6 linked regions of the Oryctolagus cuniculus genome follow. The protein of the gene in region 5 binds, or shares a complex with, the protein of the main gene of each other region. Links are inferred from orthologs where the notes say so. Each region holds a gene or a part of one and is shown on either strand. Other genes may lie near its edges. The genes, in order: POLR3C, POLR3D, POLR3G, POLR3K, POLR3E and CRCP.

Region 1 (5,574 bases), on a different chromosome or scaffold from region 5:
TTTTCCTTCTCTCTCCCTCTTTGTCTCTCTCTCTTCTCCACTTCCTGCCTCTCCAATAAAAATTTGGGGAACCAGTGTAATGGCTTCTGATCCAGCTTCCTTGCTAATGCCCCTGGGAAAGCAGCAGAAGATGGTCCAAGTGCTTGGGCCCCTGCCACCCACATGGGAGACCTAGACTGGACAATGGACTCCACCGTAGCCTAGCCCATCCCTGGCAGTTGCAGGCATTGGGAAGTGAACCAGAAGACAGGAGATCACTCTCTGTCCATCTGTCTCTATTTCTCTTTCTGCCTCTCTGCCTTGCAAATAAAATAAAAATAAATAAATGAAAGTTAAAAAAAAGTAATGTTAGCATATGTGTGTTTATACACACAGAGCTCCTAATACAAATTTACCAGTGTTTGAACTGGCTTTTCAGATCCGCACTGAACCAGCCACTTACCGACCTGGTCTTTCTTATGGCCAACACGTTCATGACAATTCTATGAGATTAAGTACATAAAAACGGCCATGAAAGATGAAACTCACTGACTCACACAATCCTGACCTCGCTGAGCCTTTTCCCAAAAGCGCAGAACAATGAGTCACTACTGTACGTGATGACTACAATTAATAACAATATATTGTACATTTTAATATTGCAAAGACAGATTTGAAGAGCTCTCATCCCCAAAAAATGATGCTTGTGAGGTAATCCATGTTAGTTTGATTTAGCCATTCTACAATGCAATATATGTATGCAAAGTATTTCACTTGTCAATTTAAAAAACCAACAATTTACTAAATGTTTTTCCCTTCTTCCTCAACTTGTTCTTCCTTTTTCCACCTCCCAGTCTCTGGTATTCTCAATCTGAATTCCACCTACCCTTCAAAATTCAATTTAAATCCCACCTTGTCTGTCATACCTTCCCTACCCACACCAACACCACCATACGCCTGATTTTTTTAAATTTATTTATTTCAAAGGCAGAGTGACAGAGGAAGAAATGGAGAAAGAGAAATCTTCCATCTGCTGGTTTACTCCCAACATGGCTGCAATAGCCAGCGAAGGGCCAGGCTGAAGCTAAAACTTCCATCCTGATCTCCTTCATGGGTGGCTGGGAACCAAGCACTTGGAACATCTTCCACTGTCTTCCCAGACACATTATCAGGAAGCCTCCTAAGAAGAGGTGCAGAAGGGTCTTGAACTGTGTGCTGGGGCAGGCGGTGGCTTAACCTGCTGCACCACAATGCCAGCCGCCTCTCTGAATTCTAAAGTGCATCCTCATCCACTTTACAGTCATGCTCCATGTAACAACGTTTTAGTCAACAGTGGATCATATATGCAATGGTGGCTCCATTATCGTACCACCTAGTGACACAGTGGTCTTAGTTGGTTAAGTATATACTCTGATGTTCACACAAAAACAAAAATCGCCTGATAGTACAGTTCTTGTTTCTTGGAACATATTCCTGTAGATTAGGGGAATACATGACTACATTGTTACCTTTTTCCATGTCTGCCTTGTCTTCCCAAAGAAACTGTGAGATCCTTAAGGGCAAGAACTACATATTCTGGGGCTAGTGCTATGGCACAGTGGGCTAAGCTGCAGCCTGCAGTGCTGACAATCCATATAGGCCCCTGTTTGAGACCTGGCTGCTGAACTTCCAATCAGCTCTCTGCTAATGTGCCTGGGAAAGCAGCTGAAGATGGCCCAAAGCCCTGGGACCCTCCCCTCGTGGGAGACACAGAAGAAGCTCCTAGCTCCTGGCTTTGGCCTGGGCCAGCCCTGGTCATTGCAGCCATCTGGGGCATGAACCAGTGGATGGAAGACCCCTCTCTCTACCTCTGTCTCTCCTCTCTCTGTAACTCTACCTTTCAAATAAATAAAAGAGCATGGCACTAGTCTGCAATCATAAACCTGATAAACAGCAGGACAAACATTATTTAAAAAACTACATATTCTCCCATGTCACCCAGGACATCCAGCAGAAAACACTGCACATGAGTAGGAAGCACATTCAACTGTGTCTCAATTTACAATTCACGCACAACAAATAATAAATCAGACTAAAAACCCCAAGAACTTCTCCAGGCAGCTAAGAATAAGAAAAACATCTATAAAACCTTTCATATTATCCCTTTGAAGTTAGGACTTTAGATGATAAGGGAAAAAAAAGATAATAAGTTGTGGAAACTGAAACCAAGTCTTCTCCCTCTTGAAGGCAAAATAATGAACAGCGACTTAAAGATCCGAAGAGCAAAGGGCGCAGTCAGCGACCTGTCGCCAGTCACACACACCAGGGCTGCGTTCCAAACTGCCTCTCTGTAGTTAGAGAATTCTGGAGGCTCTGATGTCTGTTGGAAAAGCACAAGGCACCTGCTCTTCCCAACGGTGAAATATGCCAAAACGCACATAAACACACACCAAAATCAGCAGGCAAAGCCAGGAGCACTGAGATGAAACTATGATCGTGCAGTGGGAGCAAATAGAGAAACCAGAAAATGCCATCAAAACACAACTTGTCAGGTGAAAAGGCTCTCAAATACCCGGTAAGTGTTGACTCACTGGACTCCATTGTGTTTCTAAGAAATAAGAGATGGGGACACACACTTCAGTGGGGCTTCTAGACTGCATGAGACACTGTAATACACAGGGAAGCTGTTCTGCAGCCACTGTCTAAAGACTAATTATTTAAAGACAGCCAGCCAAAGGTAGGATTAACATTCACCCTGCTGGGGCTCCCCACAGGAGCTAAAACCCAACCCAAAGCAGCTTCTGGGTTTGGGGCCCCAGGCGCTGGTGGAAGTGTTTTCTTTACATACCACAGCACTACCTCTCTAGGGGCTAAGAGACAGTCTGGCAGAAACTGGTTTAAAAAAAAAAAACAAACCACCAATCTGATGTAAGAGGAAGCGGTCCCCAACATCTGTCCTGGATCTTCTTCTTGAGTGACGGGGGTGGGGGGTGGTCGGTAAGGGAGGCGGCACTGAAGACACCCGCAAGCGGACAACCCACATAAACTAAGTTCCAACAGCTTCCTGCCTGCTTCCCAAAGCCCTCGCCTCCGACAGTCAGAGGAGCGCCGGGCACTCTGCAAGTCATCAGGACACCGCTGTTTTCACTTTCACATGAACCCCAGGAGAAGGGCAAAACCCCCTCTCCCCAGTTACCTCCCACCCCTGGCTCGTCCCTAGAGACCACCGAACAGGGACAAGCCTCAGCAATCCGCTATGTTTCTCCAGCGAGGCGGGGGAAGCGGGAAGATCTGGCGAAAAGTGGGAAAGGGAATCGGAGGAAGGCGAGGAGCAGCAGAGGAAAGAGTACTGGGGGAGGGGAGGTCACGGCGAGGAGCGGACAAGGTGAAGAGGGCGAGAAGATTCAGGGGAAAGTTGTCAGAGGAGAACTTGCTGAGCAAGACAAAAAGATGGAGGGGACACAGGCCAAGCGCAGAGAGGCAGCGAGGGGCAGGTGAAGCAGTCTAGCCGGGAACAAGGGCTGGGCTGGAAGAAGGGAGCCAGGGCCGTGACGCTGCAGGGTAGGGGCCAGGCACCGGGGACAGTGGACGGCAGGTACTCGGGTGACCGATGTCAGGGGAGTCAGGTGGATACGAGAGGCTTAAGACCCAATTCCGGGACATCGGGGCCAGGCATCTAAGCAGGAGCCAGACGCAAAGGAAACGGGGCTCTTACCGGTAGTTTGGGGCTGACCTCGCCCTTGCAAAAGTGGCAGAAAAACCGGTGCGCGGCTACGGCGGCGCCCGCGTCCGCACCGGCCGCCGAAGCCTCCGCCATTTTTCTCCTCCGCCGCGGCTGTCCGACAGGGCGAGCGGTCTGTCCCTCACCAGGCCGCTACGTCCCGGGCTGCGGTCGCCGCCGCAGCCGCCACCGCCACCACCGCCTCAGCGCGGCCCGCCGCTCCACAGCACAGCCCGCCTCGGTCACGTGAGCCCGCCGGGCCCAGCGAGGCGGCGGCGCGGACGGCGAACCCGCGGCCCGCCCCCGGCACGGAAGAGCGCAGGAAGGCGCGTCCGCACCCCGCGGCCCGCCCGCCCGCCGGCTGCTCAGACAGCCCCCGGCCGGTCCTCCGACCTTCCAGCGAGAAGAGAGAGAAAGAGCGTCCCGGAAACCACCGACACTCTGGGGTAGAGCGGCGCACGTTTTTCGCCCTCTCGGCGTCCTGCCCCTGCGGCCATCCTCTTCCGAGAGAGGGCCGTGGGCTCCCCCTCTGCCCTGGCGGCTCGCGGGTGCCGCAGGAAGCCGACGTGGGGACCTCGGCGGCGTTTGGTTTGCAGCCCCTGGCTTGGTTGACCCTGAGGTTAGTGGAAAATGCTGTCTGAACCAGCGGGCTTGGATCTGAACAGAGAGACCAGGACCGGAAGGGGAGCCTGCGTGAAGGGAGTGCAGGAGCGGGAGCCAAGCGTCTTGTAAATCCCGTCCAGGGCTGGCGCAGAGTCAGGGCAAGTGAATGGGTGAACTAGGTCTCGGGTGATCCTGAGGCCGGGGCACAAAGACGTGGCTTCCAAGGAGTTGGGAGAAATAAATGAACAGTGGTAGCAGCAGTGGTAAGAAAGAAATCATAAAGCCAACTGCGTCCGTTTCTGTTTGTGTCGCCTTTGTCAGAATTAAATTCTGCCCTACCCACAATGTAACTTCATCTCCTGTGCTGAACACGCTGTGTAGAAGCTCTCCTTTATCTCCCGATTTCTTTTTCTCAGTTGTCTTTTCCTTTATGGACTGGGAATGGCGCTGCCTGTTCACTCTCAGTGGGCTGTGACAGTGACTTTAATGCTTCCACAATGAAGTGTAGAATCTAGGGTCTGTGACAGACTGCAAGATCAATACGCAGTCTTTTCAGAAAAACACGGTGACTCGTAATCCCATAAAGTTGATGTATAGTCTTTCAGTCTTTTTCCTATGCATAGTTTAAAAAAAAAACTAACAAGAATTACTCTACATTTTCCTTTGCAACTGCTTCCGTCATGTAATATGAACATTTTTCTAATATATATTGTTCTAAATAATTTTATATATTGGAAGAATATTCCTTTGTATGGGCATGGCATAATTTATAAGACAGTAGGTTTTTTCCAGTGTATCAGCATTATAAGGAAAATAGTGACATCTTTTAATTATGTCTTTGGAACATAATGTCCAAAGTGAAATTGTTATGCAAGACTTTAAGACTTTTGATGTGTATTGTCCCAGTGTTTCCCAGAAAAGATACATAAATTTATAATAAGCAGTTCTACTCCAAACATGAAAAGGAAACTATATTATATATTTTTGTTTTTCCTAGCTCTGAGACTCCCCAGGACAATGACTCAAGCTGAAATTAAACTCTGTTCTTTGCTACTGCAAGAGCATTTTGGAGAGATTGTAGAAAAAATTGGAGTCCACCTAATCAGAACTGGCAGCCAGCCGCTAAGAGTAATTGTCCATGACACGGGAACATCACCGGATCAGGTATGTTTAGGTGACATTAATTTGCTCTCTTTCACCTGCCTTTGAATGGTGTTCCTCCCTACCCTAGAAAATGAAGGCAGAAAGCCTGCCCTAGGATCAGAACAGTGTTGCTTGAGGGGAAAGAGGAT
Region 2 (5,335 bases), on a different chromosome or scaffold from region 5:
TTAGTCTAGAAGGTGCACACAACTTAGGATCTTCCTGCATTGTTTCTTAGGACTGCACTTGTATCTACAATGATCTCAAGATAAAGTTTACTTTTAAGAAATGTACATCTTCCGGGCCGGCGCTGTGGCGTAGTGGGTAAAACCGCCACCTGCTGTGCCGGCATCCCATATGCACACCAGTTCAAGTCCTGGCTGCTCCACTTCCGATCCAACTCTCTGCTATGGCCTGGGAAAGCAGTAGAAGATGGCCCAAGTCCTTGAGCCCCTGCACCCATGTGGGAGACCTGGAACAAAATCCTGGCTCCTGGCTTCGGATCAGCTCAGCCCTGGCCATGGCGGCCAACTGTGGGGGTGAACCAATGGATGGAAGACATCTCTCTCTCTCCTTCTCTCTCTGTATTAACTCTTTCAAATAAATAAATGTCTTAAAAAAAAAAAAAGAAAGAAAGAAATGTACATCTTTCTGCTTGTTATCCGAAGTGGAAATCTCTCCCAGGGGAATAATTCAAAAGAAGAAAAAAGTTTAACACACCATATGTTCACTATGTATGTTGCTTAAAAAAAAAAAAAATCCAAATGTCCAAACAGGGAAACAGGTAAATCAAGATCCAGTCCCTGGGCTGGCATTCTGGCCCAGTGGGTAAAGGCGCTGCCTGCAGTGGGCGCCAGTTCAAGTCCCAGCTGCTCCACTTGTGATCCAGCTCCCTGCTAATGTGCCTGGGAAAGTGGTAGAAGATGGCCCAAATCCTTGGGCCCCTGCACCCACGTGGGAGATCCCAGCTTTGTGGCCAATTGGCAAGTGAACCAGCGGATGGAAGATTTCTCTAACTCTGCCTTACAAAAAAAAAAAAAAAAAAAAAAAAAAAAAAAAAAAAAAATTCCAGGCTGCTGCCTGTGATACCAGCATCCCACGAGGCCCAGGCTCCTTGCTTCTGCCTGGCCCAGCCCAGGGTGTTACAGTCATTTGGGATGGGAACCGAAGCCAGGAGCCGTAGGCAGGGCTCCCACGTGGGCGCAGGACCCCAGAACTCCGGCCATCCCCGAAGGACACTTTTCCCGTCAAATCACAAGGGCCAGAGTCACGACAGAAGCTGATCGGATCCGTCCCTCCCGCGGCAGAGCAGACTCGGTTTCCGTCTTCTCTCCAGGACCCGGGCGACCCTGAGCCCAGAACGGGGGACGGGGCAGCCGCTCCGGAGACGCCCCTGAGCCCACCCCGGACGCCCCGCCGCTGCCCCGCGGCAGTGACCGCCCCAAGGTCACCACACAGCGCCCGCAGCCGGGGCTGCCCGGGGCTGCAGCCGGGCCCCGCACTCCACCCCGACGCGCGACCCCACTGCTCCGAGCGGCTAAGTCGCGGCGAATTCCGCCCCCGTCCCCACTGCCCCGTGGGGTGGGGGTCGCCAAGGCGCTGCCTGGAGCTCGGCGCCCCCACCCCTGGCCCGAGGCCACGACCCACAAACGCCGCCCCGTAACGTAGCCCGGACCGGCCCCCCTCACCCCAGCTTTTTCGCCCTCTCAACCCAGCTTTTCCCGACTCCGGGAAGAACCGGGAAGAGAAGGCGGAGGGCAGCGAGACGCCGCCTCATAAATACTGTGGCCTAGCCCCGCCCCCAATCGTCACTTCCGCCCCGCGGCAAGATGGCGGCGCCCAGGCGCTGCCACGCAGACTTCCGCCCGGCGCGGAGACTAGGGGTCGGCGGCGAGTGGCGTCGGCTGTGAAGTGGGGACGCGCGGTTGCGGAGCCCCAGCGGCGTGTGCGTTCCTGCCTCGGGCCTGGCGGGGGGCTGGGAGGGCAGGTTAGAGCTAAGGGCTCCGGCCGGGGTGGTCCGGGGCGCCTCGCCACGTGGGAGGGGGAGGAGCCGAGACGCAGCCCGAGGGACGCGTCGGGGGCGGGTTGCAGGGGGAGCGGCCCGCCACGTGAGTGCGGTTCCGCCCCGGGTTCGCGGGTCCGTCTCCGCCGGTGACCGGGCGCCCGTTCTCTCTCTCAGGCAGCATGTCGGAAGGAAGCGCCGCGGGCGAGCCCGGCGCTCCGGGCACCCCCCGGCCCCTGCTCTCAGGGGCCCGGGGGCTCATCGGGCGGCGGCCTGCGCCCCCTCCCACGCCGGGCCGCCTTCCCTCCATCCGCTCCAGGGACCTCACTCTCGGGGGAGTCAAGAAGGTACCCGCCCGGCGCGTTTCTCAGGACACTCAGCTGTTTGGCACTCCAGGCTCCCAGATTCAGCAGATGCCCCTGTGTGGCTTGCTGTGTGCTGGGCGTGGTGTTGGGGCTCAGTCAAGTCTGGGTGCTGGCCACGAGCTGTTGAGGTGGTTTTCAGAGGATCGCGCCTGGTTCCAGACGTTCCAAAGAGCAGGGTTTACTTTCATTGTGCGTGCGTGTGTGTTGTAGAAAATGCTCTGTGTATTTGAAAGAGTGCTGGCATGCACCTGCTGGCTCACTCCCCAAATGGCCCCGATGGTCCGGACTGTTCCAGGCTGAAGTCAGGAGCCAGGAACTGCGTCTGGCCATCTTCTGGCTTCCCAGGTGCGTCAGAGGGAGCTGGATGGGAAGTGGAGCAGCCAGGACCCGAGCTGGCGCCCCAGTGTGATGCTGGCATTCCAGGCAGAGGCTTAACCCACTGCACCACAACACTGACCCGCTGACCCCTTAGTGTTTGTTTGGAGCCCCCTTTAAGAACCCTAAGATAGCCAGACAAGCACAAACGCCGCTGTCAGTTTTGAGAGGGTCCCAGAATCCTCTGGTAGATTCTGGGCATGGCATTGGGGCCCGGTGCCCTTTTCCACGTGACTGTGGCTGTGAGGAGCTCTCAGAGGGTTGGGGGTGACAGGGAATGAGACAGAGCAGACAGCAGCCAGTTTTGAAAGATTTACCTGTGTCTCGGGCCAGTCTGGTGCCAGTCTAACCATGTCCTCTGTGAGTGCTGGCAGATCTGTGTTCCCTGCCTGGGCCTTGAGCGAGAGCTGTGTGCCTGTGGTACTGATTGGCCCCCGTAGCAGACTGGAGATGAGAGACATCAGACAGGTTTCTTTGCATTTGGAGGTGCTGGTGGGGCTCTCAGAGGGCAGAAGCTGCTAGTTAGGATGGTGTCGGGTTCCCTGCTGCCCGTGTGACTGTGCTGCCGCCGTGGCAGGATGGCTCTCCTCGCCAGGCAGCTGTGTGTCTGTGTGAAGGTGTGATGACAGCGCAGTGTGTGCAGAGGGCCTCAGGGTGGGCTTGGTCCCCAGGAGATGCCCTTTGGGGGGTCAGAACGGATCAAGTCAGTGACTCTTGCATTTTGCTTTCAGAAAACTTTCACCCCAAATATCATCAGCCGGAAGATCAAGGAAGAGTAAGTAGCCTGAATACTTGCCCCTTGTTTCTTTGCACAGGCTGGGGCTGTGGGGGAAGTAACTAGCTTATGGCTCAGAAGTGTAAAAATTTGTGTGTCCATTCTTTGCACTGGTGATTTTTTTTTTTTTAAGATTCATTTATTTTACTTGAAAGAGTTACACAGAGAGAGGAGAGGCAGAGAGAGAGAGAGAGGTCTTCCATCCGATGGTTCACTCCCCAGTTTGGCTGCAACGGCCGGAACTGCGCTGATCCGTGCCAGGAGCCAGGAGCTTCTTCCAGGTCTCCCACACAGGTGCAAGCACCCAAGGACTTGGGCCATCCTCCACTGCCATTCCAGGCCATAGCAGAGAGCTGGATGGGAAGTGGAGCAGCTGGGGCTAGAACTGGTGCCCATAAGGGATGCTGGCACTTCAGGCCAGGTGTTAACCCGCTGTGCCACAGCACCGGCCTTGCACTGGTGATTGTTAACCCTGGCTTGCAAATGATTTTTTTTTTTAAAGATTGATTTATTTGAAAGGCAGAGTTACAGAGAGGGGGGTGGGGGTGGGTCTTCCATCCGCTAGTTCATTTCCCTCTAAATGGCCTCAGTGGCCAGTGTTGGGTCGGGCGGAAGCCAAGAGCTTCTTCCGGGTCTCCCATGTGGGTACAGGGACGCAAGTACCTGGGCCATCTTCTACTGCTTTCCCAACAATAGCAGGGAGCTGGATTGGAAGAGGAGCAGCTGGGACTCAAACTGGCGCCCATGTAGGATGCCAGGTGATTCTTAAAGTGCAGGCCTTCAAAAAATACAGATCCCCAATGCTGCATCTCTAGAAATTGTGATTGGACTAGTTTGCAGTGAAACAGAGTGATGCTATCTTGCAGCCAGAGTTGAAAGGCAACAGTTTAAATTTGGGGTGAGGAGTGTCCGGCTTGCAGGACATCTGTGGCCCACGAAATCTGGTGTGACCCTGCCAAGGCAGCCGTGGGCAGAACTCCCAATTCAGTTAACTCTCCGGGCAGCTAATGTAAGTTGATGACTGTGTATGGCCTGAGAATGATGTTGTAACTATCAGAATAGCCCGTGGCAGGAAGGAGGTCAGACAGATGTGACCACGCTTGCCTTGACGTTCGTTTGTATTACAGCCTTGCTGCTTTCAGTCAGTGCCAAAAAAAAAAAAAAAAAAAAAAAGTTTTTGGGCGAGCAGGTAGAGCCCAGCAAAGTGAAAGGCCTCATCCGGGCAGCGAGACGGGTGCTGGCCTCCGAGTGGGGCTCCACAAACTCTGCTCGGTTGGCGGAGTGGCGTGGCAAAGGCAGGCCAAGTGGTCCCCAGCATCCCCCGTCTCTTGCAGGCCCAAGGAGGAGGTCACAGTGAAGAAGGAGAAGCGGGAGAGGGACCGAGAGCGGCAGCGGGAGTGGCATGGGCGGGGCCGGGGCCGCCCGGAAGTCATCCAGTCCCACTCCATCTTTGAGCAAGGCCCCGCTGAGATGATGAAGAAGAAAGGTACAAGGAAGGGGTCAGGAATGGAGGCGGGGCCAGAGCCACGGAGGCAGGCCGGAGCCACGGAGCGCCCGCTGCCGGCTAGCTGCTGAACAGGGTGGTTTCCCGCAGGGAGCTGGGATAAGACCGTGGATGTGTCGGATATGGGTCCCTCTCACATCATCAACATCAAGAAGGAGAAGAGGGAGACGGACGAGGAGACCAAGCAGATCCTGCGCATGCTGGAGAAAGACGACGTGGGTGCCGGGGCGGGGAGGGGGTTCGCTATTGCGGGGGCTGCCGGGGTGGGAGGAGCGAGGGGCAGCGGCCCGTGACCCCGCAGCTCTGCCTTGGCAGTTCATCGATGACCCTGGGCTGCGGAACGACACCCGGAACATGCCTGTGCAGCTGCCGCTGGCGCACTCGGGCTGGCTGTTTAAGGAGGAGAGCGAGGATCAGGATGTGAAGCCTTGGCTGGCCGGCCCCAAGGAGGAGGACATGGAGGTGGACGTGCCCTCTGTGAAAGGTATTCCGGTATCCCTCA
Region 3 (4,788 bases), on a different chromosome or scaffold from region 5:
CGGGCGGCTCAATGAAATAAGGCATCCTTTTCATTGTTTCTCTCAGCTCCTGTTTCAAGGCCAGCATGTAATCTTCACCTTCCCCTGTTTTCAGTGGCACTGGCTTATAATCTGTATCCTATTAAGAGACAAAGAATGTTTTAATGCCCCATGTTGTTTATTTTCTAGAAAATATCAGTTTTACTGAAAAACCATGTTTTACTGGGCACTAAGCTCTACGATCAATTCACAAGGTGCTGACCTGCTCTGATCTACCTTAACCTTTCAGCCCACTTCCCATCTTGCCCTTCTTTTCGAGGTGGGAAAGAGACCAACACTCGTTCTGCTGTGTAGTCTGCTGATGAATGTGACCTCATGTTGCAAAACACAAGGCACCTGGGGCCGGCACAGGGTACAGCAGGTTAAGCCCCCCCTTTGGCCCTCTCATGCTAGGTCGGAGTGCGTGGATACACTCCCACCTCCACTTCACTTCCTGGTAATGAACCTGGGAGGCAGCAGATGATGTCCCAAATACGTGGGTTCCTGCACCCAAGAAGACCCTGACAGAGTTCCTGGCTCTTGGCTTTGACCTAGCCCAGCTCTGGTTGTTGCAGGTATTTGAAGCGTGAACCAACAGATGGAATCACACTGTCAATCTCTCTCTCTCTCTCTCTGTTTCACTTTCTCTCTGCTACTCTGCCTTACAAAGAAAATTTTAAAAATTAATTAATTAAAAAATAAAAATCAAGGCACCCAAATGAGAGCAACTGCTTTAGTTACTATCAACCTCAACTAGCAGTGGTGACTGGCAGGAGCAATAGCACAAAAATATAATGATAACAGCAGCTATCATTTAGCAAGAGATTACTCAGGCCAGGAAGAACTAAGTAGTCAACATCCATTATCAACACTATCACCAGTATTTTATCTTTTATGGTAAAGACATTGAGAGGAGAAGGAGCAGTAAGCCCATATAAAGAGTAGATACCAGAGCAGAAGTTGGAAGCTACACTTTAGTGTTTTCAAATTATACACACATATGCCCATAAAGTCCCTAAAGGATCACACAAAGGCTTTAATGATGTGACTTTTCTTTTTTAGATTGGGTATTTTTTTTTTTTAACGGGCAGAGTGGACAGTGAGAGAGAGAGACAGAGAGAAAGGTCTTCCTTTGCCATTGGTTCACCCTCCAACGGCCGCCGTGGCCAGTGCACTGCGCCTATCTGAAGGCAGGAGCCGGGCGCTTCTCCTGGTCTCCCATGGGGTGCAGGGCCCAAGGACTTGGCCATCCTCCACTGCACTCCCTGGCCACAGCAGAGAGCTGGCCTGGAAGAGGGGCAACCGGGACAGAATCCGGCACCCCGACCGGGACTAGATGTGGGGAGCAACTGGGAGCAACTCGGACTAGACTAAGTTACTGGAATTAAGACTTATTCTATGCATCTGCTCTCCCACAATATGGCGCTGGGAGAGGAGGAAACAGCTTCTACTCAGCTGCCTCCAGTTCAACCAATAAACAGCAGGACCTGCTCCTGATTGGAGGAGAGCAGCGTACTCGGCGTGTGGGTAGCAGAGTTGGGATTGGTGGAAGAGGACTATAAAGGAGGAGAGAGACAACATGCACCAGGAACATCTGAGGGAACACCTGTGCAGCCCCCGAGAGAGCCGGCCGGCGGTGTGCCGCTCCCCCGTGGAAGTGGGGAAAGTGGCAGGGGGCCCGCCCCTCCACGGAGGTGGAAGGGATGGTAGCCAACCCGGGAAGAACCAGCAGCAAACCCGGGGAGGGCCGAGCAGACAAAAGAACAGCGCAGGGTCCTGTGTCGTTCCTCCATGAAGAGGGGGAGCGACATAATGGTGCCGTGACTCGGATATGAAGCCTAGGCAGGGTTTAGTGTCGTTCCTCCACGAAGAGGGGGAGCGACAACTAGAACCCGGTGTGCCGGCGCCGCAAGGCAGAGGATTAGCCTACTGAGCCACGGCACCGGCCTTAGATTGGGTATGTGTTTTAATAACAGCCATGTTCGATTAAGTAACTCTGCCCCATAATCTAGAGGAAAAATTAATTTTAAAAGGACTGAAATGGGCCTGGCATTGTGGCACAGCATATAAACTGCCACTTAGGACACTGGAGCACAAGCCCCAGCTGCTCCACTTCTAATCCAGCTGCCTGCTAATGCACCTTGGAAAGCAGCAGATGATGGCTCAGGTGCCTGGACCTTGCCACCCAGGTAGGAGTTCCTGGCAGCTGGCTTTGGCTCAGCTACGAGCATTGCAGCCACTTGGGAGTAAACCAGCAGGTGGAAGATCTCTCTCTCTCTGTTTCTCCCTCTCTCTCTGCCACTATGTCTTTCAAACAAACAAACAAAAAAAATCCTTAAAAACAAAATATGCTGAAGTACACTCTGCAATGATTCTTTCCTAACGAGTATTCACATAACAGAATGATTACTTATCAGTCAATGTGGCTTTACATTTTTAAGGATCAGTGAAATGAAGTTGGCTATAATAGCAACTGATAGAGTCACGGTCAGAGCTGGCCCGTCTCTGCAGGGTAAGCATGTAAGCCCAAGTCACACTGAAGCAGAGGCCTAGATAAGATCAGGAAGCCATCCATGCACAGACTGGAGAACAGACGGCCCCAGACTGGGCGGCAACAGGGGCAAAGGCCTGAGGGAACCAGGAGGCAGCGCAGCTGGGAACAGAGAGGGGCAGCGGGAGCAAAAATTACGGAGATGTCAGAAAGGCATCGGTTTGGGCGCCGGTTTGAGTCCTGGCTGCTCCACTTCTGATTCAATTCCCTGCTAATGCAACTGGGAAAGCAGTGGAGAATGGCCCATGTGCTTGGGCCCCTGTGTGCGAGATCTGGAAGAAGCTCCCGGGTCCTGGCTTTGGGCTGGCCCAACCCAGGCCACTGCGGCCACATGGGGATTGAACTAGTGTATGGAAGAGAGCTCTCCCTCTCTCCCTCTCTCTCTCCCTTTCAAATTAAAAACAAAAATTCATTCTTGGTTGATATATTCTATGTGTTTTCAAGGAAAGGTGTATACAGTTTTTGTTTTCTGTTTTAAGAAAGTGGCCTGAACATCAGAAAATGTCCAGGGAAGAATGGTGGAAATATTTAAATTAAAGGTAAGTGAAATTTGGGGAATGAGCCAGTGGATGCAAGACCTCTCCTGTAACTGCATATGCAACAAAATAAATCTTAAAAAAAAAAAAAGCTGTCTTTTACTTTCCTATGCTTTCAGACATCATCATGATACCACATATTCAAGTCCTATCTAGAATTCCAATTTTCTTAGCAACAGGATAAAGCAACACATGGGACTCAGCTGTCAGCGTACTTACGGGAAACACGGGGGGTGGCTTCAGCACCACGTCAGGCAGCTTCTCACCTCTGCTGAAGCCCACAGCCTCGATGTTAAAGGTGTAGGCAGCCCGCCCTCTTCCTTTGTTCCCCGCCATCAGGATGGGCTACGCCGCCAGGAGACTGAATTCTGAAAGATACCACCAGGGATGCAGGCAGGCTGGGTCCTAAGAGAAAGAAGCCATCACTGTAAAACAAAGCATGAAACTCTGCCGCTACAGAGCACGGCTGAGAGAAAACACTGTTGGAAAACTAAAACCTGGAAAGGAGTAAATGTGTGACGATGGCGTGAAGGTTTGGCAAGGAACAGCTGCAAGTGCTAAATGAGGGGGAAGCCGACCTCGTCCGCCTTCAACTTCAGGTCTCCTGCTGAACTCCCAAATCCTCCAAATCAAGATTACACTAGGATACGAAAGTACATTGGAAATCCACTGAAAGGTCCTTAAAACACATCTTTACTCTGGTGTAGCAAAATGTAGAAATCCACGCATAGTTTTTTTCAAAATATACATTTCTCATCAACTTTTTGCAGACGCCCCTCCCCTCACGTGCACAGCTTTCAAACACTTCTGGCACCAAAACAAGCTGCTCTTTTCATTCCGTTTTTCCATGACTTTCCCCAAGCTCCAGGTAGACGTGAACCTGCAGTGCAGTAACAGGAACCTGCAGGCTGGAGAACTCTGCTCTCAATCATGGTGGTGGTGAGTAGCGTGCACGGTCTTCACATCTCTTCCCGCTGAGGACAGGCTAAGACTGAACCCAGGGAGCCCAGGGGAACGAGCTTCTGCACCTGCACGCTGCGCAGGCAGACAGACGAGCGGCTCCGGCCGCAGCCGCCCAGCTCAGGCACTTACTTGCACAACACCTCACACAGCTGCTGTGCAGTTTCTTACCAAGACACAAGGGTCCTGAACACGTTTCCACTGAAGTTTGCCACCTTCAGGGTGAAGGACTACCTGCTAAGACCACTGAGGGGCTACTTCCGCACATCTTTTTGACTATCTGCAATTTGAATACAGTTTGGTCCCAAGGCCTGGGAAATCCCAGCTTCCTTTTCGACAGGGCTGACTATTCTCATCGTCTGGGGCCATGAGAACCTTTAAAGAATCAAGCCCCAGTGTGGGACGCCTGCACCCCATACCAGAGTGCCTGGCTGCTCTGCTTCAAACCCAGCTGGGGGGCAGCAGGTGATGGCTCAAATACTCGGGTCCCTGCCACTCATGTGGGAGTCACAAAAGAAGTTCCTGGCTCTGGGCTTCAGATTGGCCCAGCCTCGGCTCTTATGGCCATTTGGGAGGTGAATCAGCATATGGAAGAACCACCCCTCACCCCCACCCCCACTCTCTCTGCTTTTCAGATAAAATGAAAAAACAAACAAAACAAACCAACCCCCCCACCAAAAAAAAAAAAAAAAACAACAAAACCCTAAAGCAGCTGTTTTCAAA
Region 4 (3,956 bases), about 18 Mb from region 5:
TCCTCTGCTGTTTTCCCAGGCACATTAGCAGGAGCTGCATTAGACGTGGGGCAGCCAGGACTTAGACCGGTGCCCATATGTGATACCAGAGTTGCAGGTGGCAGCTTAACTCACCGTGCCACATGTCATGATGGAGTGCCTGGCTCCTGGCCTCAGCCTGGCTCACATTTGGGAAGTGAACTAGCAGATGACAATCTCTCTCCTCCACGCCAACCCTTGTCTGTCACCCTTTCAAATAAATAAGTAAATATTTTTCTAAAAAAAAAGATTAACACAAGAAGTATAAAGAACCTAATACATTTATTGCAACCTTAGGAAGCAAACTGAGGAAGGCTCAAAAAGGAAAACAAGGAGTAAGAACAGAAAGGATAAAGAAGCGGAAGGTCAGGCTGTCACATTTCGTGCTGTTTAATCCCAGATAGAGCAGTCAGTTTGAAGTCACTGAACTTGAAGGTTTGCTAGGAAGGGAAGGCATTATCAGACTTTTCCTTTTTGTACAAGATTCCAAATAAATTGTGGTTAAATAAGCTTGCAGTTAGCAGTTACATATGCAGGGGCATGCCATGGGTTGAGCTGTGCAGACAGTATAAATACTGAAGGGCTCTGGAAGAGGAGCAGAGTGAACCTGAAGCAGAGCTCCCACCGAGGGTCTCCCCCGAGCAGAGAGAACAGAGTGAGGGTCTCCCCCGAGCAGAGAGAACAGAGTGAGGGTCTCCCCGAGCAGAGCAGCAAGGGTCTCCTCCTGGAGCAGAGAGAAGACAGCGAGGGTCTCCTCCCCTCAGCAGAGAGAACAGAGCGAGGGTCTCATCACCCCCCAGCAGAGAGAACAGAGCGAGGGTCTCCCCCCAGCAGAGAGAAGACAGCGAGGGTCTCCTCCCCCCCAGCAGCGCACAGGAGGGTCTCCTCCCCCCCAGCAGAGCGCACAGTGAGGGTCTCCCCCCAGCAGAGCACACAGCGAGGGTCCCCCCCCCAGCAGAGCGCACAGCGAGGGTCTCCCCCCAGCAGAGAGAAGACAGCGAGGGTCTCCTCCCCTGAGCAGTGCACAGCGAGGGTCTCCTCCCCCGAGCAGAGCACACAGTGAGGGTCTCCTCTTCGCCCACGAGGACTCTCTGGCCCCCGATGACTTCATCCACCGACGGACGATGTTCCTGGCACCCTGGCCCTGCCCTCAGGAGGGCTCGCTCTCTGCCACACCAGCGAAGACCCTAGGACACACAGCTCACATTCCTTGCCAGGAGTCCACCCTGGGGACCGGCACAGCTGGGCCAGCGCAGCCCTAGTCCCTCCAGCGGTGCCCGCACTGGGGGCTGCAGCACTTGTAGAAGGTGGTCATGGGCTCGTCTGCAGAGCGCGTCTGAAGCTGCATGAAGTAAGCACGAGGATGTTCGCACTTGGGACACGGCTCTGCAAAGGAGAAAAACCAACCAGGGAACCACATTACATAAAATGACGCTGGTGGGGCCAGCATGGCGGCACAGTGGGGGGCCACCGCCTGCGACACTGGCATCCTATGTGGGCGCTGGTTAGAGTCCCGGATGCTCCACTCCGGATCCAGCTCCCTGCTAGTGCAGGGCAAGAGCAGCAGAGGACGGCCCAAGTACCTGGGCACTGCCACCTGTGCAGGAGACCCAGGCACTGGCCTCAGCCTGGCCAGCCTTGGCCATCACAGACATCTGGGGAATTAACCAGCAGTTGGAGGGTCTCCTTCTCTCCTACCCTGTCATCTTGCCTTCCAAATAAATCTTATCTTTAAAAAAGAGTTATTTGTTTATTTGAAAGAGTTAGAGAGAAAAGGAGAGACAGACGTCCACCTGTTGGTTCATCCCCAAATGGCTACAACAGACAGGGCTGGGCCAGGCCAAAGCCAGGAGCTTCATCTGGGTCTCCCAAGTGGGAGCAGGGGCCCAAGGACCTGTGCCATCACCCGCAGCTTTTCTCAGGTCATTTGCAGGGAGCTGGAAGCGAAGTGAAGCAACTGAACTTGAACCGGCGCCCATCTGGGAAGCTGGTGCTGCAGGGGCAGCTTAACCTGCTGGGCCACAGCGCTGACCCCAAACAGATAAATCTTCACAAAAACGATGCTGGTGAGGGACACTTCGTAAGATCACTAAGGACACTACCAACAGAGGCTCCACTCCCACCAAGCTCGAACACTGAAGGGACAGGTGAACCTGTGCCCTGTGAAACACTCCTCCCGTCCTGGGACCCTGCGTCTCTCCCATCTGGCTGGAGACTGATTAGAGAAGTAACTTGGAAGGGGGCTATCTCCACGGTTGGTGCTGCTGTAACAAACTGCTGGAGACTGAGTAATGGGGAGAGGCTCAAACAGCTTTGAAGTAAGTACTGAAAAGCCTGTGTAAGAGAATTTCAAAGAGCTCATAGAAAATGAAACTAACAGTTTCCAGTCCATGCATAGTTTCTAAAAGATTTACGGATCTATTTGAAAGGCAGAGTGACCTCTGATGAAGGAAGAGAAAGAAGCCAAGTCTGATTAATATCAGACGCCCTGGTTAATATCAGACGCCTGTCTCCCTTCTCGTGCAATCCACAGGAATAATTTACCAACTACTGTTTAAATGCACGTTTTTCAGTAGCTCTAGAAACTTTTTTTTTTTTTTTTTTTGACAGGCAGAGTGGACAGTGAGAGAGAGAGACAGAGAGAAAGGTCTTCCTTTTGCCACTGGTTCACCCTCCCATGGCCGCCGCGGCCAGCGGTGCACCGCGCCTATCTGAAGGCAGGAGCCAGGTGCTTCTCCTGGTCTCCCATGGGGTGCAGGGCCCAAGCACCTGGGCCATCCTCCACTGCACTCCCGGGCCACAGCAGAGAGCTGGCCTGGAAGAAGGGCAACCGGGACAGAATCCGGCGCCCCAACCGGGACTAGAACCTGGTGTGCCGGTGCCGCTAGGTGGAGGATTAGCCTAGTGAGCCGCGGCACTGGCCAAGTGTAAATAATTTTTAAGAGGTGAAATCACTTGCTGGTTGTTTGTTTTTTGATACAACCAGAAAATAGTAGCATTATAATAATACAGACAGACAGACAGACAACACAGTCCATCATGGGAGGCTTCGGCTGTCGTGGCCGTCAGCTTGACACTCCACAGGTGGGGGTGGCTTTTATATCCTACAACACATACTAAACGGCAAAGGTGCATTTCATCTGTCCTGACAGAAAACCACCCGGCGTTGCTGTCAGACCACGTGTGCTCTGTCAATCTCTGGCTGTGGGGGTCCACTTTCCCTAGTGGTTTAGTTCACGTTTTTGAGTCTGTCACATACAGGATGTTACCCTGTAAAGGGCGGGATTTATGTCACATCAACGCTTGAAGATGCTGGTGCTTGATGGGAAGAGCTGCCTCCAAATTTGAAGCTGGAAATGACTGGAGTGACTTTTGAAAACAGAACGAAAATTCAGGCTTCCTAGATTCTGCCTTGCATGTTAAGAACTGTGTAAAAATGAAAATGTCTGCGTTGATTCTCAACACCAGTGAAATCTCAGTTAACAAGCAGAAGGCCGAGACCTTCCTTCTGCGCTTCACTCTCCAGACGGCAAGAGCAGGAGCCGGTCAGGTCCCACCCGGGAGCCCAGAGCGCCAGATACGTCCTGCACGGGCAGCAGGGCCCAAGGACGCTGCCAGGCACATCAGCCCAGTGCTGGTTGACGCCCCAACACAGGATGCCAGTCGCGGGCGGCGGCCTAACCCGCCACACCACAGCGCCAGCTCTCAGTATTTTCAGTGAAATGTAACGATTCCACACGAGCTTCCTGACAAGCCTGCTGCGTTTTCATGACCAGCGCATTACGGGAGACTCTGGCGGGCTCAGAGTCGCAGAGGGGCCGGCGCTGGGGCACAGCGGGCAGAGCCTCTGCCTGGGCGCCGGCATCCCATGTGGGCGCCAGTGTGAGTCCCGGCTGCTCCACTTCCGATCCAGCTCTCTGCTGTGGCCTGGCAAAGCA
Region 5 (4,788 bases):
TCACCAAGTCCCCTGAAGGCACAGGCCCACACTGAAACTGCTCTAACCCCCAGTACCACCCCTCCTAGAACCTTAGACCAGCAGAACACAGCAAGCACGTGGCCCAGACCAGGTCATGAGTCGGAACTCTTCCAATTAAAGTCACTTCTTTCAGGGCTACATCCCACATACCTGGTTCTCCCCACCTGGGCCCTGCTTCTCCTCTCTGAATGGCTGGCTCCAACCGCACTGAACAACTCACATACCCCATTCACACGCCCCAGATACACCAGCTCTTTCCACTGCAGACCTTGGCTAGACCACCCTCCCTGCCTGCCCAAACCCACATCTCTCTTCACCCTCGCCCCCACCCACTTCCATCAAAATCCCAGCCACTCTTGTTAAGAAGTCTGCAAGTGCCAAGGTGGCTGGAGAAGCAGCCAGTGTGTCCCTGGAGGGGTGTCCAAGGTCCCTGCTGAAGATCATGACGACTTCAGCATGAATAAGACCTGTGCCCTGGGAGGCAGGGCCAGGACGAACACTCAGTCAGTGCAGGCATTAAAGAGCAGCACTCGGACGCTAGGGGCTCGCAGCCTCCTGGACCCCAGCGTGAACAGAATGCTCGATCAGGGTGTCCATGAATGAAGGGTCCCGGCCACAAGAGACATGACCACATCCTTCACAGCATGCCCTGGGGAGGAGTTCCTAACACTACTTTTGAAACTTCTCTTTTGTTCCCTGAGTGTTCCAATGAGCTTTGCGTATTGCTTCACAGGCTCAAAACACTTAGTAAGCCCCTCACACTTTGTCCCAGTCTGACTGTGCCTCACATACCATGGAATTCACTCATTTAAAGCACTCCAGGGCCAGCACTGCAGCACAGCGAGTAAAGCCGCCACCTGTGCTGCCGGCATCCCATATGGCACCGTTTCATATCCTGGCTGCTTCACTTCCAATCCAGCTCCCTGCTCACGGGTCTCGGAAACACAGAAGATGGCCCAGGTGTTTGGGCCCTGCACCCACATGGCAGACCCAGAAGAAGCTCCTGATTCTTGGCTTCAGCCTGGCCCAGCACCGGCTGGGCCATCTTGAGAGTAAACTAGCCAGGAGCTTCTTCCAGGTCTCCCATGAGGGTGCAGGGGTAAAAGGGTTTGGGCCATCTTCCACTGCTTTCCCAAGCTATAGCAGAGTGCTGGATCAGAAGCAGAGCACCCAGGGCTCAAACCAGTGTCCATGTGGGATGCCAGCATTGCAGGTGGTGGCTTTACCTGCTACACCACACAGCACCAGCCCCTAACTCTGACTTTCAAACAAATACAGCATACAACTCAATATTCAGGCAGCACCACAGTCATCTTCGTCAACACAAAAAGAAGCCACCAAGTCCCACTTCACTCTACTACCAGCCCCTGGAAGCCACTAACACCCTCTCCATCCTGCCAATCTACCTCCTGGTGTGGACACTTCTTCTTGCCTCAAGGAAATGCTAACTAGGAACAGAATCACCGGGTCATAAGTCCCTTGACTTTAGAAACACACACCTGCCACTTACACTCAGAGTCAGGCTGTGCTGTGGGAGGGTCTGTGTCCCACAAGGACAATGGCGTAGAGCCCAGCCAAACAGGTCAAGCAACATCTACGGAGGTGGTTCTTTCCAGGGTCCCCCGGCTGCCATTTGTTATTTTCACACCGCCTGGTCCCCAAGAATGTCTGGTGTTTGGAGGAGGCAGAGCTGGACCCTTGGCTGGGTAAGGTCCCCCTCCCCAGGACCCCCAAGCCCCGGGTACCTTGCCTATAGAGCGCAGCCGCGTAACGAGACGTGTTAGTGGTGGTCTGGGAAGAGCAGAATGTCTGCTTGTCCATCAGTTTCCTGGGAGCACAGGGAGAACCGACGTCAAGGGGAAGGAGGTTCCAGAGTCAGGGCCTGGCAGGCACAGCCCACTCCTCCCCAGACACCAGTCAGGGACCAAGGCCACAGAGCAGCCTCCATCTGCCTCAGGAGGGGAGCTGGGGGATGAGAAAACCCACATCGTCTTGTTTGTGCACCAAGAAACAAGCAGTGCCAGGAGCTCCAGGGGCCAGCTTCCCACCCAGCCCAGGAAGAACCCACTGGGACGAGCCAGCACAGGAGGGGAGAGCCTGGAACCCTGGAGGCTCCCGGCAGGAGGGGTCACTTCTGCAAGGCCTTCTGAAGGTTTGCATCTGACCAGAGGGGCTCCGAGGGCTGGGCACTCACGAGGAGTATGTGCTGGTCTCATCAGCACAAGCGCCGTCCACGTTCAGTGCGATCTGCTCCCCCTTGCTGCGGCAATAGTTGGGATTCAGGGTGTCGATGGCCATCTCAAGCTCTACCTGCAGGCATCAAGCATCCCCACCAACCATGAGGATCCCCCAAGGGACTCCCCCAGCCCCACCATGGCCACCTCCTAACAGTCACTGCCCAGAAGTGGAGCTGACACCTGTCCCTGCCCCAAGGGCCCTATGGCTTCAGTCCATAAACTCAATTCCATCAGAAATGTTAAGAGTAGGGTTTTTTGGGGGGAGGGGGCAGAGGTGGGAGGTGGGTTAGGCAGTGCTTGCACAGTCTCCCCACTTCACTCCTAAAGATCTAAATTAGATGCCAACAATTTAAAATATCAAGAGATTTCTCCTAAAATTCCCATCTCCAGCTTTTCTTGAAAGTCCCCAGAACTAGCAATCTTGAAACACCACTTCCAACGGACCACAGGGGGCTGGGGCGTGTCTTTAGGTCTCCTTGTCTATCATCTCACTTCTTTTTAGGCACTAGACTGGCCTCACTATGTGAGACCCAGACCTGCCCAGGTACCCAAGCTTACACTGAGACTATTCCCTAAGTCATCTTGACCCTCCTTCCTTCCTAGAGCTGCCTACCCTCTTTCTTTCTGGAAACTTCCCGTCCTCAGCCTCCAAGCCTTTGCAAGCTGCTGGTTCTCCTAACTCCACTGCTCCTTCTCTGCCTCTCCCACCAGCCCTCCCTGCCCTCAGCTCAGCACACGGCAGCCCCACCTTCTGCTGCTTGGGCTTGATCTTGGCCGAGAGGTGCGGAATGTCATCGTAGGTCATCGAGGCTGGACGTACAGGATACTGGGGGAGGAAAGGAAGCTGTCAGCAACCCTGTCCAGCCCAACCAGAGCAGGGCTCCTGGGGCTCCAGCCGAGAATCAACAGCCACCCCTAGGCCCATGAAGCAAAGACCGGAAGACCCAGGGCCCAACAAGCCCCACAGTGAGGCTCCCCTGTGGGATCTGCTTGCAGTCCCATTCCCATCTGCTCCTCTGAGCCTCCTTCCAAATGGCAATTTTAAGATGTCTTTGACTTACAAGGGACAGGCATAAGCATCAGGAACCCAAACAGTCACCATGTGGGCTTTAATGCCCACAGCGCATGGCTGTGAGGGTTGAGAGTAAGGGTCCAAGATCAAACGATAAGTTGATGTACCATCCAGCGAGAAATGAGGCCACAGGGAAGCAGAGGGGAAAGCCGCTGGCCAGTGTCCTTCACTGCTGCAGCAGGATGCTGACATATGGGAACTCATGACCCTCAGCCTATGCAGCAACCTTCCCACAGTAAAACACTAGAAAGGGCAGAGCTGAGCCTCCTGCCCGCTTTGTGTAAGGTCACCTTTACACAAATGGTCCCCACTTTCACAGACTGCACACCTACTGGTCCCCACTTTCACAGACTGCACACCTACGTCCACCTCATGGATGCACCGTCCCTGTCTTCATCCCAGTGTGCCACAGCGAGCTGTGATTTGAACCCAGTCTCAAAAGTCTGCCCTTCACTGCCTAGGACCATGACAGCCACAGGATGAGCCTGCTGGAGGCGAGGCACTGTGGAAAGTCAGCTCCACTACAGATCAGCTGCACTAGAACCCAAAGAAAGGGTCATTTCCTAAAAGCTCACTGAAACAGCAATACCGGGTCTCCTCTGCCTCCCAGGCTGGAGCTAGTGGAGCTGTGATGGGAGAACAGCCTGGAACACAGCCTCTTTGAGCAAAGCACTGAAGCGTGGCTTGACTGGGACAGCCTGGAGACACTGGTCTGCCAACGCCTGGGGCAGCTCAGAGATCATGACGTCAGGCTGGGAGGGTGGTAGAGAGCATAGGTCTGGAAGCAGCCCTGGGTTCCAGTCCTAACTTTGCCACGCGTGTACTCAGGCAAGCTCTTCACCTCCCTGAGTAGCCTCACCTCACTGCCCAGGGCTGCCCTAAGAGCAGATGAAGAAGAGGGCTGGCACACCACAGATACACACAGGGTCATTAGGAACATCACTGTGCAATCAGTTAAGGATGTAGGTTCCAAAGGCCCAAAGGACAGGCTCCCCGTCCTATGGGATGTAAAGGTAAATCTCAGGGAATGGACCCCAGGCCTGGGGCACTGCCACTGCCACCTCGTCCCAGGACCCTTCAGTAGAGGCCTCCCCGAGCCCCATTTTCTAAGGCACAACGTGGGCATAGAAGTGTCTAAAACAATCACTTTATTATTGGGGAATATAAAAATGGTACAGAAAAGTCAGGTAGTTTCTTAAAAATTAAATAACATGTGACCCAGCAATTCCACTCCTATGAACACACTCAGAGGAATGAAAACACACTGTCCACACAAGTTATACAGAAGGAGCAGGCGTTTGGAGCAGTGGTTAAGAGGCCACTTGGGACGCCCACATCCCACATTGGAGTGTCTGGGTTTCAGTCCTAGCTCTGCTCCCCATTCCAACTTCCTGAAAATGCATACCTGGTGGGCAGCAAGCAGTGGCTCAAGTACTTGGGTCCCTGTCACCCACGTGG
Region 6 (5,578 bases), about 49 Mb from region 5:
AGGGAAAAAAAAAGCCGGGGTGGGGGGTGGGGGGGACTGATTTTGGACTGACTAAAGAGCAAAGGCATCTTTAAAGAGACACTCCATCTGATAAGGGGGCAGGGCAGGAGAGTTATACCAAGGAGAAGGAATAGCAATTCAAAGATCCAAAGGGAGGAATGGGCTTGGAAAGTCAGAGGAACAACCTGACAAATTGTGTACTTTGAAGGGGATGACAGTGACAGAGATACAGCTGAGGCAAGGTTATACAGGGTCTTGTAGGTCCTAGTAAGAAGTGCAGATTTTCTTCAAGGACAATGGAAAGCCAATGAAGGGTTTTACACAGCAGGTGACCCGATCCAATTAATATTTAAGCTCACTCTGGTTGCTACATAGACAAAGCAGTGAGAGCCAAACAGCTATTTACTTAATCCAGACCAGAGATGACAGACTAGAGTTAACAGTGGAGCTGGTGAAAAGTAACCCTATATTTAAAATGTTTGAAATGTAGAGATGACAGGACTGGCTGATGGTTATGGGTATGGAAAAGGGGCTAGGTTTGTGCTTTAAGTAACAGGAAAAATGGGAAAAGGGGATCAGAAATGTATTTCAGGGAACAATCAAGTTATAGATGATTAAAATGACCAAGTGAGAGAAAATAGAGAGAAAGCCTCCCAGGACTAAGAAACATTTAGATGCCAAACAAGGGAGGAAGGGCAGCCAGGGAAGGACACTGGGAGGTCCTTGCTGTAGAAGACAATCCAGGAGAGCCTGACACAAGGCCAGGAGTTCTAGCATTTCTCTATCAATTGATGCTGAGGGATCAAGAAAGCTGAGGCCAGAAAATCAGTTTTGGATTCGATAAGACAGAGGCTCAAGTAATCTTCACAAGAGCCATTTCTGCAATAAGGATGAGTCCAACAGCAGGCCAAGTGAATTAGGAGATATAACAATTTTCAAGAAGTTTTGCTGTGAGGGGAAGCAGAAGTGTTGGGCAATAGGTGGGCAAGAATAGGTGAAATAGAAATAGGTGAGGACGAGGGATTGTTACAAGATGTACGCTATGGGTATTAATTTGAGTGCTCAGTGTCTCCCAAAGGCCCACCTGTTAAATATCTGGTGCCCAAAGTCTTATGTTAATGGCACTAAGAGAGTAGAAACTTAATCCAGTTATGATATTTGAAGGCAGAGCCTTTGGCAACGGATCAAATTGGGTCATTAGATTTCAACCTCCATTATTAAAGAGACCACATAAACATGCCCATTCCCTGTCTCTTGCAATATGATTTGAGGATTCTGCCAACATGAACGCCATCACCAGACACTGAACCAATGAGATCTACCCCATCTTGGACTGTGAACTAAAGAATCCTTCTCTCTTTATAAAATTAATTGCCTCAGGTATTTCATAAAAAGCTGACCAATACAATGTATAGGTTGAACTGGCCTGTATACTGATAGGAAATACTCTGGTAACGTGGGAAAATTAATGATGATGGCTTATATTAATTTATGAATGATTTCATGTTGCAGGCTAAACCCCATTAGTGGGTTGCTTGCAAACTTAATTTAGTGGGTCAACTTTTAGTAAACTAGACAACAGCAGAGTAAACTGAATAACTTAAAATATGGACCTGGGGCCAACACAGTGGCATAACAGGTAAAGCCACCGCCTGCAGTGCTGGCATCCCATATGGACACCAGTTCGAGTCCCGGCTACTCCACTTCCAATCCAGCTCTCTGCTATGGCCTGGGAAAGCAATAGGAGGCCCAAGTCTTTGGGCCCCTGCACTCGTGTGCAAGATCCAGAAGAAGCTCCTGGCTCCTGTCTTCGGATTGGCACAGCTCCGGCTGTTGCGGCCAACTGGGGAGTGGACCAGTGGATGGACAACCTCTCTTTCTCTCTGCCTCTCCTCTCTGTGTAACTCTGACATCCAAGTAAATAAATAAATCTTTTTTTAAAAAAAGTATGTACCTAGGCCAGCACCGCGGCTCAGCAGGCTAATCCTCCACTTGCGGCGCCAGCACCCCGGGTTCTAGTCCCGGTTGGGGTACCGGATTCTGTCCCAGTCGGTGCTCTTCCTGTCCAGCTCCCTGCTGTGGCCCGGGAGTGCAGCGGAGGATGGCCCAAGTCCTTGGGCCCTGCACCCGCATGGGAGACCAGGAGAAGCACCTGGTTCCTGGCTTTGGATCAGTGCGGTGCACCGGCCGCAGCACGCCGGCTGCAGCGGCCATTGGGGGGTGAACCAACGGAAAAGGAAGACCTTTCTCTCTGTCTCTCTCTCTCACTGTCCACTCTGCCTATCAAAAAAAAAAAAAAAGTATGTACCTGTCATTTCCGTTTTATATGTAAATAGTGAAGTTAAAGTAAAAAAAAAAAAAAGTCTGGGGACCAGCACTGTGTCTAGAACGTTTACCTTCCACCTGCAGTGCTGGCATCCCACATGGGTACCGGTTTCTTCACTTCTGATCCAGCTCTCTGCTATGGCCTGGGAAAGCAGTAGAAGATGGCCCAAGTCCTTGGGCCCCTGCAACCACATGGGAGACCCAGAAGAAGCTCCTGGCTCCTGGTTTCCAATTGGGCCAGCTCCAGCCATTGCAGCCATTTGGGGAGTGAACCAGCGGATGGAAGACACCTATCCCCCTTCCCCTCCCTCTCCCCGCCTCTCTGCCTTTCAAATAAATAAATAATTCTTTATTTTAAAAAAAAAAAAGGTCTGAAAACCACCAGTTCATAAATCACTAACCACGAAGCAAAAATTTAACCTAAAGGAAAATGTTTTCATCGGTGCCACAGAAAACACAATATAGACATGCCTACAAGTTTACACCAATCATGTAAAAAGCCACATGCAGAGTAGAAGCAAAAGTTTCTATCTGTACTCGGTACGATGAGGAAACATGGAAAAGATCACGTGGCGTTAAATTGCTGGAACTTTTACTCCTTGCTTATACCGTGCACACACCCGCCTCGTACTGCTTCTGATCCAGTCCAGATACAATTCCTTCTCCCAGAAGCCCCGCCCCCTCCCCTAAAGGGCCGATAGCTCCTCAGCAAACTCAGATGCCACCTCTTTGTGAGGGTTTCTCAGGAGCCCCCTACCCCCAAGCACAGCTCTGTTCCAACCCGCAGCCATCTCTCAAGGGCTTTATGCTTTCCAAGTCCCCGCTCGGAAACCAGGTCGCGCTGCCACTGGGACCCAGGAAAGGCCAGTAAATGAATGAGGGAGGGAGGAGGCCCACTGAAAGCCAGCCGACCGAGTCTCACTGGGCCGGGCGCCCCAGACACCGGGAGCGGAGGTTCAGCGCGGCAGAGCGAGAACCCCCGTCTTCCTCGGTCCTCCACTCCCAAGACCCGGCCGTCGCCGCTGAGCCGGAGTCGCCGCTGAGCCGGAGTCGCCGCGCCCTCAACCCTGTCTCTAACAGCTCTCGGCTCCCAGCGGTCTAACCGTCTCCAGCCGTGCACCCAGACCCAAAGCTTACACTTCCATGTCGTCCTCGCGCCCTCGGCCCCAGCAGCCTGCAGATAAGGAGCCAGCCGCGGCGCCGCCGCAGCTCCCCTAACCTACACAGCACTCGCGGCGGTCGCGGGCCTCCGCGGTGCACGCTGGGATCGCCGCGCTGCACGCCGGGATCGTGGTGGAGCCGGGAGGTTCTCGCGGCCGGGCGCCGCTCGCCTGGCCGAGCGGGCTGTCTAGCGTCTGCGGACGGGACTTAAGCAAAGTGTTTTCACGAGTTAAGCTTCCGAAGGCGTGGTCGTTTTTGTAGGCCTTTGCAGTGTTAAAAAAATCCCAGGGCGGGGGCCAAGAGGAGCTGTGCTCTTCTTCGGATCCAGCTCTGCTATGGCCTGGGAAAGCACTGGAAGATGGCCGAGTGCTTGGGCCCCCGCACCCGTGAGGGAGACCCAGATGAAGCTCTTGGCTCCTGGCTTCAGAGTGGCCTAGCTCTGGCCCTTGTGGCCGTTTGGGGAGTGAGCCAGCTGATGGAAGACCTCTTTCTCTGCCTTCCCCTCTCTGTAACTCTGCCTTTCAAATAAATAAATCTTAAAAAAAAAGAATAAATAACCTTAACCTGAACAGGCTGTGTCTGAGCCCTGGGGCTGGGGCTTTTCTCGGAGTTTGCCCAAAGTACATTATCTTTCTTGAGGAAAGATGCGCAGGATGGGATTTTTTTTTGCTTGGAAATAGCCAAAATGCCCAACAATGGAGAATTGATCATGCTTCAGCCATGTATGTAGGCATGCAAAGTGGATAAACACAAAATGGAATATTACTCAGCCATAAGAAAGCATGGAGTACTGACATTTGAAACAAAATGAAAGGAATTAGCATTATGCAAAGTCAAGCCACAGAAAGACAAATACATGTTTTCGCTCATATGTGGAATATATACGCATGTGTGTATAGTAAAAATGTGGATGCCATATTATTTGGTGTATATTTATAAATGTTGTCTTCACGATTTATATCCCTACACAATAATGCAGCCTTATTTCTTCATTTTATGATCTTTGTCATGAATCCCATGTTATATTAATATATCCACCCCTGATTTCAAAAAATATGAAGTATATTTACAAATGAAGTGAATATGGAAAAGTGTTAAATGAAACGAATATGGAAAAGTGTTAAAAAATAAATATATGTATGCTCAGTGAACGCTATACTCCTCTGTATTCTTTGAAATATTACAAAATAAAAACATTTTCAGGATAGGATATTTAGGAGCTGGCACTGTGAGCTCAGCCTCCACCGCAGCACCAGTATTCCCTGTGGTGCCAGTCAGTGTCCCAGCTGCTTCACTTCCAATCCAGCTCCCTGCTATGGCCTGGGGAAGCAGTAGAAGATGGCCCAAGTGCTTGGGCCCCCGCACTGATATAGGAAACCTTGAAGAAACTCCTGGCTTTGGATAGGCTCAGCTCCAGTCTTTGTGGCCATCTGGGAAGTGAACCAGCAAATGGAAGACCTCTCTCTATGTCTCTCCCTCTCTGTAACTCTACCTCTCAAATAAATCAGTAAAATCTTTGAAAAAAAAAAAAAAAGGCTACTTAAAAGATGCAAGTTGATGTGGCGTGACCTAAAAAAAATCATATAGGAAAAAATTACCTAAAGGTATTGGGAGGTATAGCCATTTATGTGTTAAAAACAACTGGGAAGGTTGATGTCTTTTGCCTTCTCTATATGTTGATATGTTTGAAGTGTTTTTTAAAGACTGGAAGGCAATATGGCAGAATATGAACAACAGCAGGATGGTAAGTCAGTTGCTACTTTTCTGTTTTTTTAAAATATACATTTTGACAGCATATCAGTTATCATTTACTAAGTTCATTCTTTTTGCAAGGCTTTTGCTAAGCACTATGTTATTCCGTGATATTAACAGTGCAAGCTTTGCAGTTAGCCAGCCTGTGATCCATTCTCCTCCATCACTTTCTTTTTTTTTTTCTTTCTTTTTTCAAAGATGTATTTCTTTGAAAGGCAGAGTTACAGAGACACAGAGAGATTGATCTTCCATCCACTAGTTCACTCCAAAATGGCCACAGTGGCCAGGCCTGGGCTGGGCCAAAGCCAGAAGCCTGGAACTCCATCCAGGTCTCCCACAT

The links.
Region 1: POLR3E (region 5) and POLR3C share a complex: the UniProt entries of both Homo sapiens proteins name them as parts of the RNA polymerase III complex. The link is inferred for Oryctolagus cuniculus from reciprocal best matches to the Homo sapiens genes POLR3E and POLR3C.
Region 2: POLR3E (region 5) and POLR3D share a complex: the UniProt entries of both Homo sapiens proteins name them as parts of the RNA polymerase III complex. The link is inferred for Oryctolagus cuniculus from reciprocal best matches to the Homo sapiens genes POLR3E and POLR3D.
Region 3: POLR3E (region 5) and POLR3G share a complex: the UniProt entries of both Homo sapiens proteins name them as parts of the RNA polymerase III complex. The link is inferred for Oryctolagus cuniculus from reciprocal best matches to the Homo sapiens genes POLR3E and POLR3G.
Region 4: POLR3E (region 5) and POLR3K share a complex: the UniProt entries of both Homo sapiens proteins name them as parts of the RNA polymerase III complex. The link is inferred for Oryctolagus cuniculus from reciprocal best matches to the Homo sapiens genes POLR3E and POLR3K.
Region 6: POLR3E (region 5) and CRCP share a complex: the UniProt entries of both Homo sapiens proteins name them as parts of the RNA polymerase III complex. The link is inferred for Oryctolagus cuniculus from reciprocal best matches to the Homo sapiens genes POLR3E and CRCP.

What each region holds. Positions count from the first base shown.
Region 1 is NC_091438.1:49,062,660-49,068,233, reverse strand, and holds the start of POLR3C (DNA-directed RNA polymerase III subunit RPC3), read left to right. Parts: upstream 1-2,393; 5' UTR 2,394-2,533; intron 2,534-3,673; coding exon of another isoform or gene 3,674-3,775; exon of another isoform or gene 3,776-3,945; intron 3,946-3,965; exon of another isoform or gene 3,966-4,298; intron 4,299-5,279; 5' UTR 5,280-5,299; coding exon 5,300-5,446; intron 5,447-5,574. Other genes in the region: E3 ubiquitin-protein ligase RNF115, read right to left, coding at 3,674-3,775. UniProt on the Homo sapiens protein: DNA-dependent RNA polymerase catalyzes the transcription of DNA into RNA using the four ribonucleoside triphosphates as substrates.
Region 2 is NC_091439.1:1,078,550-1,083,884, reverse strand, and holds the start of POLR3D (DNA-directed RNA polymerase III subunit RPC4), read left to right. Parts: upstream 1-1,623; 5' UTR 1,624-1,757; exon of another isoform or gene 1,758-1,799; intron 1,800-1,991; 5' UTR 1,992-1,996; coding exon 1,997-2,161; intron 2,162-3,285; coding exon 3,286-3,329; intron 3,330-4,663; coding exon 4,664-4,815; intron 4,816-4,923; coding exon 4,924-5,048; intron 5,049-5,148; coding exon 5,149-5,317; intron 5,318-5,335. UniProt on the Homo sapiens protein: DNA-dependent RNA polymerase catalyzes the transcription of DNA into RNA using the four ribonucleoside triphosphates as substrates.
Region 3 is NC_091445.1:13,204,935-13,209,722, reverse strand, and holds part of POLR3G (DNA-directed RNA polymerase III subunit RPC7), read right to left. Parts: intron 3,511-4,788; 5' UTR 3,442-3,510; coding exon 3,325-3,441; intron 119-3,324; coding exon 1-118. UniProt on the Homo sapiens protein: DNA-dependent RNA polymerase catalyzes the transcription of DNA into RNA using the four ribonucleoside triphosphates as substrates.
Region 4 is NC_091450.1:34,576,730-34,580,685, reverse strand, and holds the end of POLR3K (DNA-directed RNA polymerase III subunit RPC10), read right to left. Parts: intron 1,405-3,956; coding exon 1,277-1,404; downstream 1-1,276. UniProt on the Homo sapiens protein: Core component of RNA polymerase III (Pol III) which synthesizes small non-coding RNAs using the four ribonucleoside triphosphates as substrates. Can mediate Pol I proofreading of the nascent RNA transcript.
Region 5 is NC_091450.1:17,076,078-17,080,865, forward strand, and holds part of POLR3E (DNA-directed RNA polymerase III subunit RPC5), read right to left. Parts: intron 3,085-4,788; coding exon 3,007-3,084; intron 2,332-3,006; coding exon 2,216-2,331; intron 1,850-2,215; coding exon 1,767-1,849; intron 1-1,766. UniProt on the Homo sapiens protein: DNA-dependent RNA polymerase catalyzes the transcription of DNA into RNA using the four ribonucleoside triphosphates as substrates.
Region 6 is NC_091450.1:66,192,607-66,198,184, reverse strand, and holds the start of CRCP (DNA-directed RNA polymerase III subunit RPC9), read right to left. Parts: upstream 3,711-5,578; 5' UTR 3,471-3,710; coding exon 3,463-3,470; intron 1-3,462. UniProt on the Homo sapiens protein: DNA-dependent RNA polymerase catalyzes the transcription of DNA into RNA using the four ribonucleoside triphosphates as substrates.